Linked DNA regions of Cricetulus griseus. The protein of the gene in region 1 purifies or fractionates together with the protein of each later gene. This does not show direct contact. Links are inferred from orthologs where the notes say so. Each region holds a gene or a part of one and is shown on either strand. Other genes may lie near its edges.

Region 1 (6,119 bases):
AGTTGGTTTTTCTAATCATTACACTGAACTCAGGTCCTTGGTTTACAAGGGAAATGATTTTTGACCCAGAAAATAGAATACTATTGATTTTATCTGTGTAAACTAATTTGATTTTCTAATTATATTTCTAATATTAATTTATGTATTTGCAAAAGATTGATTGTAGAAAGGCTTGCTTTGTTCACACGTTACCGATGTTTTAGGAAATATTGCATAGAAATCACAACCATTGTAGCTATCTCTCATGCTTTTCTGGGTTAAACCAATTTAGAATTGTAGGGATTGGGAAAGTATTTAAAAATGACTATTGTTTTGTTTTCAGTTGTTAAATTTAGGGTTTTTCTTGTAGGTGTCTTAATTCTGAAACAGACTGAATATACTAAATCTACGTTCCATAGCAAAGCTGTGTATTCAGTCTGTTGAGGTATCTGGGCTAAGAATGAATATATATGTATCACAGAGGAGGTTTGATACTTCCTGGATTTTGCTTTGTTTGCTTTATTAGAACATTAAGGTATTTTAAATAAATTTCTTTTAGATGATCATATACATATACATTGTAGCCCACTGATTCTCAACCTGTGGGTTATGACCCCTTTAGGGGGTCTCTCATCATATATTCTCCATATCAGATATTTATATTACAATTCATAACATTAGCAAAGTTACAGTTATGAAATAGTCACAAAAATAATTTTATGGCTACATTAAAGGATTGCAGCATAAGGAAGGTTGAGAACTACTGCTGTAGCCATTAACGTGATATACTGTTGTGTTTTTCAACCATGCCAGATTGATCTTGTGAAAATTATCAAGAAATATTTGTTGATATCCTGAGCTATCTTGAATTAGTAGTGATGTTAATTTTTACATTGTTAGGATGAAAACTTGCTTCTATAACAAGTTATTTAGGAGATTTTCATAAATTTTAAAATCATTTTGGGTGACCTGTTGATAACAGAAGTAGTTGTTTAATTTATTGACTGTGAGTATATATGCAGACACTGAGATTTATCTATCTAAACTCAGCTTGTTGGAATGCCTATAACAGCCAGGGATTATAATAGGCTGTTTGTAAAGAGATCTTAATATTAGACAACAGTCTTATCTTTTTGTAAAACTGTTTATTCATATTGGCTAAACTTGTTTGAAGTTTTTATTTGATGGTATAAGTGTTTGAGTTAGCACAGCAGAAGTCTATGTTTTTAATATAGATAATCTTAGGGTAAAGTTGAACTGTCTGTTTGGGACAATCTCTATTATGGAACTGTTTTCCGTTAATGAAGCCATTTTTTCTTTGTTCTCTGTGTTACTGTTATCACCCAGAAATTCTATAGCTAAAGGTGGTATGGTAAGGAATATAAAAGAAATTGACACGCTTTTGCATTTGTGAAAATTGAAAATAATCCAGAAAAAAAATTGTTATCTGTATTAAACTTGGACACTTGCTTGCCATTCCTTAAAGAATACAACTTTATGTAACATTTGCATTCTATTATGTGTTGTATATCTAGAAAATAAAATATAGGAAAGTATTCAGAGGTTATATGTAAATCTAGGCTAATTTATATAAGACTTCAAAATCCATAGCTTTTGGTGTCTGCTTAGTATTCTAAAACCAATATTCCAAGGTTACCATATTCAAAAGATCATGTCTTTCAGAAATGTTGATTCTTTATAAATTTAAATAAATTGCTTTCTAGAAGCTTGTTTAAGTAGGCATATTAATTTGGGTGTATTCCTTTTCTTTGCCTTGTCCACATACCAGACAACATAAACGAGAAAGCTTATTTTGCCTTACCTTTTAAGAAGGGATGGGGATCATCATGAAGAGTGTTTGGTAGTCAGAAGTGTGAGACAGTTCTATCTGTGGTGAAGAAGTACAAGTAAAGTTCAGGTGGTGTTTCGATTACAGGACATGAGCCTGTGGCATAATGACACCAACATCTAGAGTGAATCTTTCCCTCTCACTTTAAAGTTTCTAGAAACACCTTTAAAGAAACATACAGACGTTTTTCCATTAGCACTCATTAGTTTGGGGTAACTTAAATACAGTTTATTGGTCACTCTCCTATGCTATTTGTATATATTAATTGAAAATTACTTAAGCCAGGTCAGTATTCTTGGCACTGGCTTTTTGTTTATTTTACTTGGTTTTAATTTATTAAATAATTATGATTGGAATACTGTACAAGTTAGAGATTTAATAATATGCCTGTTTTGTAACTTCCTTATAAATTGAGGTACATTTTAGTATTAGTTGAAGTCTTGAAATTGGTAGTTTAGAAGTTGTCATTTCCCGAATATTTGATACTGATCTAGTTTTGTATATTGTAACTTCAAATACACTAAATTTTTGGAAATAACAGACTGAATTAATCTAATAATTAAAGTGATTTCAGAAATATAGGGTTTCCTATTGAAAGACTAGCAACTGATAGTTTACAAAGGCGTAGAAGCAGCACTGAGGTATTATAAGTAGGTATTTATTTGAACAAATATTGTTGAGACAAGAACTAGTGCTTTCAAGTTCCCCTAAAAGTTAAAACTAGAATTTTGTTGCATCTAAGGTACTTAATCACAATTACTTGGTCACTGAATGGCCTGGCTCATGTCAGTAACTCAACTGAAAACAACAATTGACAAATGCCCTCAAAGAGATGAAAAATTTCTGGACATCTAGGAACCAGTGTGGCTTATTAGGTGCTGTGCTAGATTGTTATGACATCCACTGTTTGACAGTGATTTTTCTTTCATGTACTTAAAAGTAAATTCTTGGTAGTTGATTCCAGAACTGGTGGTGGTTTATTTTTAAAAGAACATTAAAGAAACACAAACTATATAAATAGGGACCAGGTGTTGACTCTTGCCAGCACTCAAGAGGCCCAGGCAAGCCAGTGCTATATAGGAAGTCCTTGTATGAAATTTGACTCACATGTATGTAGTGAACGTGTACTTCTTTGCTGCCAAATATTTTTAATACATTTAGAATTCCTCTTAGATGAAATAAAGAGAGGGGTTCACTAATTAGGTTTTAGCATTTGTATGGGTCATTCATTGTATGTCACAATCAGCAGTTGTGTTCTGTTTCTCAGTATATTATAGTATTGTGTAAGATTTTATGATAGTTAACTTTCATGTACTCATAAAACTGTTCTTGAAGCTTAATTTTTGCAGTTGTTAACTTAGGTTAGGATGGTTAGTTTTAAAATAACATAGCTGAAACTTCATCAATGCTGTCTTTATCATTATAGGTATATGACTGACGGTATGCTGCTGCGTGAAGCTATGAACGATCCCCTTCTGGAGCGTTATGGTGTAATAATTCTTGATGAGGCTCATGAAAGAACATTGGCTACAGATATTCTCATGGGTGTTTTGAAGGAAGTTGTAAGACAGAGATCAGATTTAAAGGTGAAGAAGTGATTTTCTTTTTTTCTTTTTTTTTTTGGGGGGGGTTGTTTTTGTGTGCCTGCATGCCTGTAGGAATGTGTACATGAGTGCAAGGCCAAAGGTATTGGATTCCCTAATATAATAGGGTGGGAGTAACTACAGGGCCATCAGGCCCTAAGAAACAGTTTTTATGTTGAGTGTTGTGGCATCTTCATGTAATCCCCAGGCCAGGGAAGTGGATATGGGAAGATTGTGGGCCTTGGTGGCCAGCCAGCCTGAAGACTTCTATGTACTTTAGATTTTCAAAATAGGCTGTGCTCATTAAAAATAATGTAGGACAAATAAGCAAAATTTTATCTGGTCTTACTGGGTTTTGGGTGTGTCTTACCCCCTTACGTAGATAGGATTTATGAGAAGATATCGATTACTTGCCAGATAGTCATATATTTTAAAATATAAATAGGTAACAGTTTATTCCTTTCTGTATTTTATCATCTTTTTTTTTGTTTGTTTGGTTTTTTTTGTTTGTTTGAGACAGTTTATTGCTTTGGAGCCAGTGTAGATCATGTTGGTTTCAAACTCACAAGAGATCCATCCACCTGCCTCTGCCTCCCAAATGCTGGGATTAAAGGTGTATGCCACCAACACCCTCCTAGTTGTTGTTTTTGAGGTACAGCTGTCTTTTTGTTTCCCGGTCTTGTCCTGGAATTGGCTCTGTATATAGACCAGACTGTTCTTGAACTCACAGAGATCCGCCTGCCTCTGCTTCCCGAGTCCTGCTTATTTTTTTTAAAAGCAGGGTTTCACTATAAACCCTGGCTGTCTCTGAACCCACACAGTGATCTATCTACCTTCTTCAGTGTCTTGAGTGTTAGGATGTAAGGTGTGTGCTGAATGTTTTCTTTATCTTTAAGGACTGTCTTTTGGGGAGGTGGTGGGTAGGTAGGTGAGACAGAATCTTCTATATTATTGGCTGTCTGGAATTTACTATGTAGACCAGGTTGGCCTCAACTCCACAGATAAGCCTGCTCATGTCTCCTTAGTGCTGGGATTAAAGATGGCATATACCACCACACCCAGCCTTAAAGGCTGGCTGTCTTTAAAGTAATGACTTTTTTCCCTTTGAGATTATGTAAAAATCTTTAAAGATAAAACTTCAAAAGTAATTTGCTGTTTTTCTCTTACAGGTTATAGTTATGAGTGCTACCCTAGATGCTGGGAAATTCCAGATTTACTTTGATAATTGCCCTCTCTTAACTATTCCTGGCCGAACACATCCTGTTGAGATTTTTTATACTCCAGAACCAGAGAGAGATTATCTTGAAGCAGCCATTCGAACTGTTATCCAGATACATATGTGTGAAGAGGAAGAAGGAGACCTTCTCCTTTTTTTGACTGGTCAAGAGGTATCATCATTTGCTTTATATAGTTTTTGTTCAGAAATTTCTATTAGCCAGCAACTCTAAACTTACATGTCAAAGGCTGGCCATATTTTTCCCACCGTACAACGTAATTGAGTGTATACCATGTTTAACCACCCTTTTCTGTATACTTATATTTAAAGGGTTGCTTATTGAAGAAAAATATACAATTGAAATGGTAGTTGATTGTACTTTAAATATTTGGGTGCCTTTTACAGTTAAAGGTTTGAGTCTTGTTCTAGAAATGTCTTTCTCAAGTATGATCAGTAGATTTCTGGTCTGGAGGAAGAGAATTTGTTTATGAAGTTCTTGTTTCTGTTCAGTGTTTTTTGAAATAAGTGAAGTTTGAGGAGGAAATACAAGAGTTTGCATTGCCTTTCAAGCTCTTGAGGTCATTTAAGAGGAGTGCTTATAGTTCCAAAAGATCCCTACTAAGATATACAATGACAACTAAACAGGTTGTGGAAAATTGTTCTAGTTTTATGCTGCACCAAAACATTTTTATTGTGTCCAGATCCTATAGAACTATTAGCCAGATATTTTAGCAAATGCCAAATTCAGTTGAGAGTTGTAAATTTTTGATGATTTTTTTTTTAAATCCTGTAATTGTCTATATGATTTGTGCCTTTGAAGTATGACTTTTCATCCTAAATACTATTTTATGTTGTGAGTTGGAAAATTTGTGTTAGTGCCTGTGCATTGTAGGACATTTATCAGCATCTCAGCCTTTCCTTATTAGGTCCATGCAGCTATACTTTGTGAGGGGTAGCCAGCAAAGACATATGTAGATGTTGCCAAATGTCTTGGGAAAGGGGGATTGTAAATTCTTTCCCTGTAGAGATTCACCCTTAATTCTTTTGTGAGCTAAGTTGTGTTGAAAGTGCAGTTGTCTGGGTAAAGTGTCCCTCTTTTGATACTACTCATCCTTTTTTATGCAGTTAAAGTGGAAATTTTCCATAAAGCTTCTGCAAAACTTACTGCTTTTCAAATGGCATGTAAACAGCTGTTGATGCTCATTTTGCCCCTTTGAGAAAGTGTAAGAATTGTGTCCACAGTTTCTCACTTCTGTTATGATAAATCTTTCCGCCAAAAACCGCCTGAGCCCCACCGCCACGTGTGAGCTTTACGCCAGCCACCTGCCTGAGTTAGGCCCAAATGAATACACATTGTATTAGGTACAATGCTGCTTGGCCAATGACTAGGATTCCTCATCTATTAACTCAGTCTTAATTATTATAAATCTATATATTTTGTAAGACTTATCTTATCGGACGCCTTATTGGCATCCCTCCTTTTCGGTGGATC
Region 2 (5,562 bases), on another chromosome or scaffold:
TCTGTTCAGTCCAGATACACAGCAGCCTCCATCATTTTCAAATGCTGAAGTGCTGCCCAGGCCTGGGTTCCAAACTTAAGCTACATTTAATTAAAAAATTTGCAATTACAAGTTACCCCAGGCTGCTGGTGGTGCATGCCTTTATTCCCAGCGCTCAGAGGCAGAGATAGGCAGATCTCTATGAGTTCGAGGTCAGCCTAGTCTGTTTTACAGGACAGGCTCCAAAGCTATAGGGAAACCATGCCTTAAAAAACCGGAGGGGGAAAAAAAAAGAAAGAAAAAGAAAAAGGTACCCCAGGACACCAGCTTGTCATCACTGGGACTGTTGACCAAGTCTCATCCATAAAAAGGACTCAATGAAGCTATGGAAAATAGGAATTTGGCTTTTTATTTGGTGCTAGGGGTCTTGCAGTCTTAGCACGACTGCCATCAAGCCACAGACCCAGCCAAAAGAGGGAAGCACCTGTCTTAGCAGCAACAGGAGCTGGTACATGAACAGAAGGACTATGGGAGCAGTACAGCCAGCCTCACTGAGGATACTGCAAACCAGACTCCAATCCAACATGGGAGGAAACTAAATTTAAGTCTGGGGCTCAGCAGAAGCCACTGTTTGGCCAGTCACCCCAGCAAGACCATTGGGAGCAGTTCCACTGTATCTCAGGTATCTGGTATATGCCTCACAAGATCAGTTATCAGTCATCAATGAAAAGCATCTAGAGACTATTTAATATGCTTGTCATATTCAGAATTACCAAAGGAGCTTGGAAAACTGTAACCAGGGGCTGGGAAGATAGTTCAGTGGGCAAGAATGCTTGCTATGCAAGCTTGAGTACTTGTGTTCAAATCCCCACCACCCAGGTAAAAAGTGGTCTGTCCAAATGCATGCCCACAAGCCTTGTTGGGTGGAGACAAGGACTGTTGGAACTGGCTGGCAGACAGCCTCGTTCCAGGCTCAGAGAGAGACATTGCTCTCAAGGGAACAAGGCAGAATAGGAAATCAAGGCACTAATATTTAACCATAAAAGAAAACTCTTTCCTAGATGAGGAATATAATTAAGATAGCTAGATGCTAAGAGAAGTGTGCCCCACAGAGAAGCCACAACCCCAAGCCTCTGTCCCCACAGGCTGGAAGACTATTTTGCTTATGTTGTAGCATCAATTCCTACTTAGGATTTTTCAAATCATTTAAAATTTGTTAGATACTCCTGTGTGTTTAATTAAAAAGGTCAAAGGATATACCTATTTGTCTAGTCTTAAGCCTCCTTGTCTTTATAAAGAATCTGTAACACTTCATAGTCAGAAGTAATGTTTATTCAGAAACACCATCCTCCCTGTACTGGCTAGTTTTATGAGTCAACTTGACACAAGCTAGAGTCATCAGATAGGATACAGCCATGAGTTCCAGCTGTAAGGCATTTTCTCAGTAAGTGATCAATGGGGGAGGGCCCAGCCCAAGATGGGTGGTGCCATCCCTGGGCTGCTGGTCCTCCTGGGAAGCCAGTAAACAGCACCATGGCCTCTGCATCAGCTCCTGCCTCCAGATTCCTGCCCTGTTTGAATTCCTGTCCTGACTTCCTTCAATGATGGACAGTGATATGGAAGTGTAAGACAAACCCTTTTCTCCCCAACTTGCTTTATGGTCGTGGTGTTTCTTTGCAGCAATAGAAACCCTAACTAAGACACTCGCCAACGTCCATCTTAAATATATCCTTATACTTCACAGCTAACATAACAACAGATAATTTGGCAGCAAGAAAGTGGCCTTTATTTTACCATTTGTAGAAAACTGGCATTTAGATTCCAAGGTACATATTAAAAAAATTACCAGCAGTAGTTCTGAACATTCAGCAATGCTGACAAATTCCATGTTGCTGATACAAGCAAGGCTGTTACTCCATGCTCAAAAAGCAAGACTTGTCCCTAGACAGCCTATTAGACCATCTGCCACAGAGCTCAGGACCCATTTGTGACTGTGTCTTCTTCCAGCTCTTCTTCACCATCATCACTTGGCCCTGAAAAAAACCCACAAAACCAGAAGTCGTGTCAATTTTGTCCACTCATCAGACACATACACATTAATTTTTTAAAAAGGTGAACGAACACACCAACTGTTTTTAACTGTGTTCCACAATCTGTGGTAGCTTTTCTTTTCTTTCTTTCTTTCTTTCTTTCTTTCTTTCTTTCTTTCTTTCTTTTTTTTAAGATTTTTGGTTGCTGGGTGGTAGTAGCACACCTTCAATCCCACAACTCAGGAGGCAGAGTTGAGGCCAGCCTGGTCTACAGAGTGAGTCCCAAGACAGCCAGGGCTACATAGAGAAACCCTGCCTCAAAAAAACAAAACTATTTTTTTTTTTTTTTTGGCCAATGTATTCTTAAAAACAGAAACAAAACAAAAATGCCAGGTGTGGTAGCACACACCTTATACTCATTTCCCCGGAAATGTTCGTAAGTACTAGGAAGATGTCAACATTTTACCAGTGGACCTACATTGTCTTTCTAGTAATGGTGAAGCTTGAAGCCATGGTCTCATGTGTGTTAGGCAGTGTTCTACCAGACTTACATCCCCAGCCTAAATTTTCTAAACCTTAATTTTTGCTTAAAATCTGCAATTTTATCATTGGTAATAAACACTGTCAGCTGCGGGGGATTGCTCAGGCACTTAAATTTAGTTCTAAAGAAAACCATTTCTATTTCTTCATCAAGGACAGTGAGTGGATTTGATATGAATTTTACTGGAGAACACAGCAAGTACCATCACTGGACCTCCTTGCTGGAAAATAAAACCCGCTCTTGGCCTCCCAGTGCATCTTGGGAGTTATTACAGAAATAATTTACCTTGCATGTCCCCAGGGGCCCAAGGACCACATAACAGCACTGATCTTAAAAATACCTTATATCCTCTTCCTGAGGAGCTACTGGCAGTGAACAGCTGCTGAGGTAGGAAGTCACTTTCTTCAGTAGTGTAGTCACTGTAAGTTGCCCTTGCTCCAGTAAACACCCCTGCCCCATGTTAACGAAAGCAACCATGGCTAAACAAATGGGCCACAAAACTAACAAACAAAACAGCTCAAAGACAATGATCCTTGAAAAGCTGTCGTGGTAGTGATTCCCAGGGATACTCATACCAAAATTTGTACTATGTATTTACTTTATTTGAATAATGTACCTCTAATGCTCAAATTGCTGACAAACTTGGCATTCAAACATTACACTAGTTAACACCTACCCAAAACTTGCCCTGTGCTAAGTGTAATTATCACAATCCTCCCCCAAACCTTTTGATGTCAGTACTTATCTTAATATTAAAGATGCAAATACTCACCTAAGACAAAGAAACTTGCCCAAGGACAGTACTGCTTAGACTCAGTGTAGCCAGTTCCATTAACCACTAAATTACCACTAATTTACAGGGATCTCTGCTCCAGGAATTTTATCACTGGAGACTTCATTTGTGTGTGTGTGTGTGTGAAGATGAACATGAGAGCATACTTACACAAACTAGACGGTAAAAGCTATTAAACTACCTATCTGGTAAGACATTATAAACCTAGACAACGTGTCACTGTTCTCAATGTAGACAACTGTAAAACAAAGGTAAGTAGCTGTGCATCTACACATAGACAACATATAGTAAAAACACCAGGCAGAGCAATTTTTAAGCTGTTACTTTATGGGATGACTGTATATGGAATATCAGTTCACCAAGATGCCCATTATATAGGATGTGACTTAGAAGTTCACAATCATCTCTAGAACTTTGTTCTTTCCATGTTGTAGAATGTTTTGCTACAACTTGTAAAGACCTCATAAATATCCCAATGGCCTAACTTTATTGGCCCCCACTCCCTACTTCTTTCCTTCCTATTTTTCCTTTCCTCTTTTTTTTTTTTTTTTGAGAAAAGGGTTGCCTGTAGCCCAAGCTGGTCTCAACCTTATTTTGTAGCCAAGTATGACCTTCAACTCCTGATCCTCCTGCCTCATCCTCCCAAATATAGGGATTCCAGGCCTGTGTGATCATGCCAGACAGGTATTCCTCTGTAGTCATTCCAAGTGTGATGTTTTGGAAGTGCACACAGAATAGTTTTCTGACCTGATCTGCGCTCTCTGCCAGGTATCTGGCCGGACTGCAGCAAGCCCTTCAGCCTCTCAACCTCAGCCAGCGTTGATGCGTTTGCTATAGCATTCTGGAAAGCACAGGAAAAGGGAGATGGATGATTACAACCACCGAAAAGACACTACAGAAATTCCTAGCAACTTTCCCCTAGAAAATCAACCACACAACTGTCTGGGAGAAGAACTTCACTGGCGCAAGAAAAATCAACTTAGAAAACACGCCAACATTTAGGAAGGGATTCGGGCTCTTACAAAGGAGAAGAACCAATCATTCCAAGGGCCCTAAAATTCAAGTTAAGTATCTATTTGGAATTCTGTTACTGGAGACTTTTGGATTTTCTACAGATACTTCAACAGGATTTGTCAGCCAGCAAATCTTGGGAAGCAGAGAAACTAAGACTGAACAACAAAGTAACTAACTGCTCCAAGAAGTAAATGTATCCTGGGTGAAAGAGATAAACATAGATGCCTTCAATTAGTTCATGCAATTAGTTCAAGTCAAAATTTGGTCAAATAGTATCTTTAAGGTAGCCTTTCTGGGCCTAGAAATAGCAGAGTCCTCACAACTATGAGATAATGGGATCTACGATGTTTAGCACTAGGACACACCACTGCCCTGGCCCCACCTCTCTGCTCTCTCCAGTCTGATAACCCAAACATACATATCCTTACCTTGATTGCTTCTACATCCCCTGCAGATGGCCCACCTTTCTTTTTGTCAGTTGGCAAACCAGCACCTGGATTAAAACTTGGGAGGGAGAATATAATTGTTACACTCTGACTAGTGCAGGCTGCTTCTCTTACTTTCAAAAGATTTGAAAGTAATTCAACCAGTGTAGTATCTTATCTTTGTTAACAAACTGATACAAGCACTCTCTCCTTCAGAAACACCACCCAATCCATCTTCCAATAGAGAAAGCAGGATGAACACCACATTAAGATGGTAAACCGAAATATATGCTCTGCTAACCTGGTAGAAATTTCCCAAGATGTACACCATCATTCAAATGTAATACCACACTAACCAGTTTTGGGTTTAATTTTGTAGGAGGCAAACTGCCAGACAGATAGTGTTTCTGAAGGTGAAGTAGAGTTAAGTTGGATATCCGTATCTTACGTTTTGCTTCTCCTGGCAATATCCTTTGCAAGCTGTGCACCCCGTTTGCCCTTGAACATTTTCTCTGCTTCCTGACGCTCCTACAGCGACACCACACACAGAGTTAATCAAAAAAGGAATACCACATGCATTTAGATGCATTCCTTAGAAAACATGGGAGAGAATTCTCCTGAAGTATTCTGGGTTGGTAAAAACAAAAGCCAACTTTAAATTAGGAGACACAGTGGTCCAACCTTCTCGGGGAAAGCTCTCAAAAAGTACCCCTTCCTAATTTCTAAGAGGGACTAGCAAGGAACTACAGAGAATTAGCACTTCCAACAAAGGAACAGCTA

What was found. Proteins that work in one complex are often made in the same cells at the same time.
Region 2: the proteins of Dhx15 (region 1) and Snrpa1 fractionate together in Homo sapiens (co-fractionation; 3 studies listed by BioGRID and IntAct, with this or other methods). This does not show direct contact. The link is inferred for Cricetulus griseus from reciprocal best matches to the Homo sapiens genes DHX15 and SNRPA1.

What each region holds. Positions count from the first base shown.
Region 1 is NW_023276807.1:120,420,634-120,426,752, reverse strand, and holds part of Dhx15 (pre-mRNA-splicing factor ATP-dependent RNA helicase DHX15), read left to right. Parts: intron 1-3,254; coding exon 3,255-3,414; intron 3,415-4,580; coding exon 4,581-4,799; intron 4,800-6,119.
Region 2 is NC_048596.1:131,202,490-131,208,051, forward strand, and holds the end of Snrpa1 (U2 small nuclear ribonucleoprotein A'), read right to left. Parts: intron 5,311-5,562; coding exon 5,231-5,310; intron 4,862-5,230; coding exon 4,786-4,861; intron 4,185-4,785; coding exon 4,091-4,184; intron 2,013-4,090; coding exon 1,954-2,012; 3' UTR 1,740-1,953; downstream 1-1,739. UniProt on the Homo sapiens protein: Involved in pre-mRNA splicing as component of the spliceosome. Associated with sn-RNP U2, where it contributes to the binding of stem loop IV of U2 snRNA.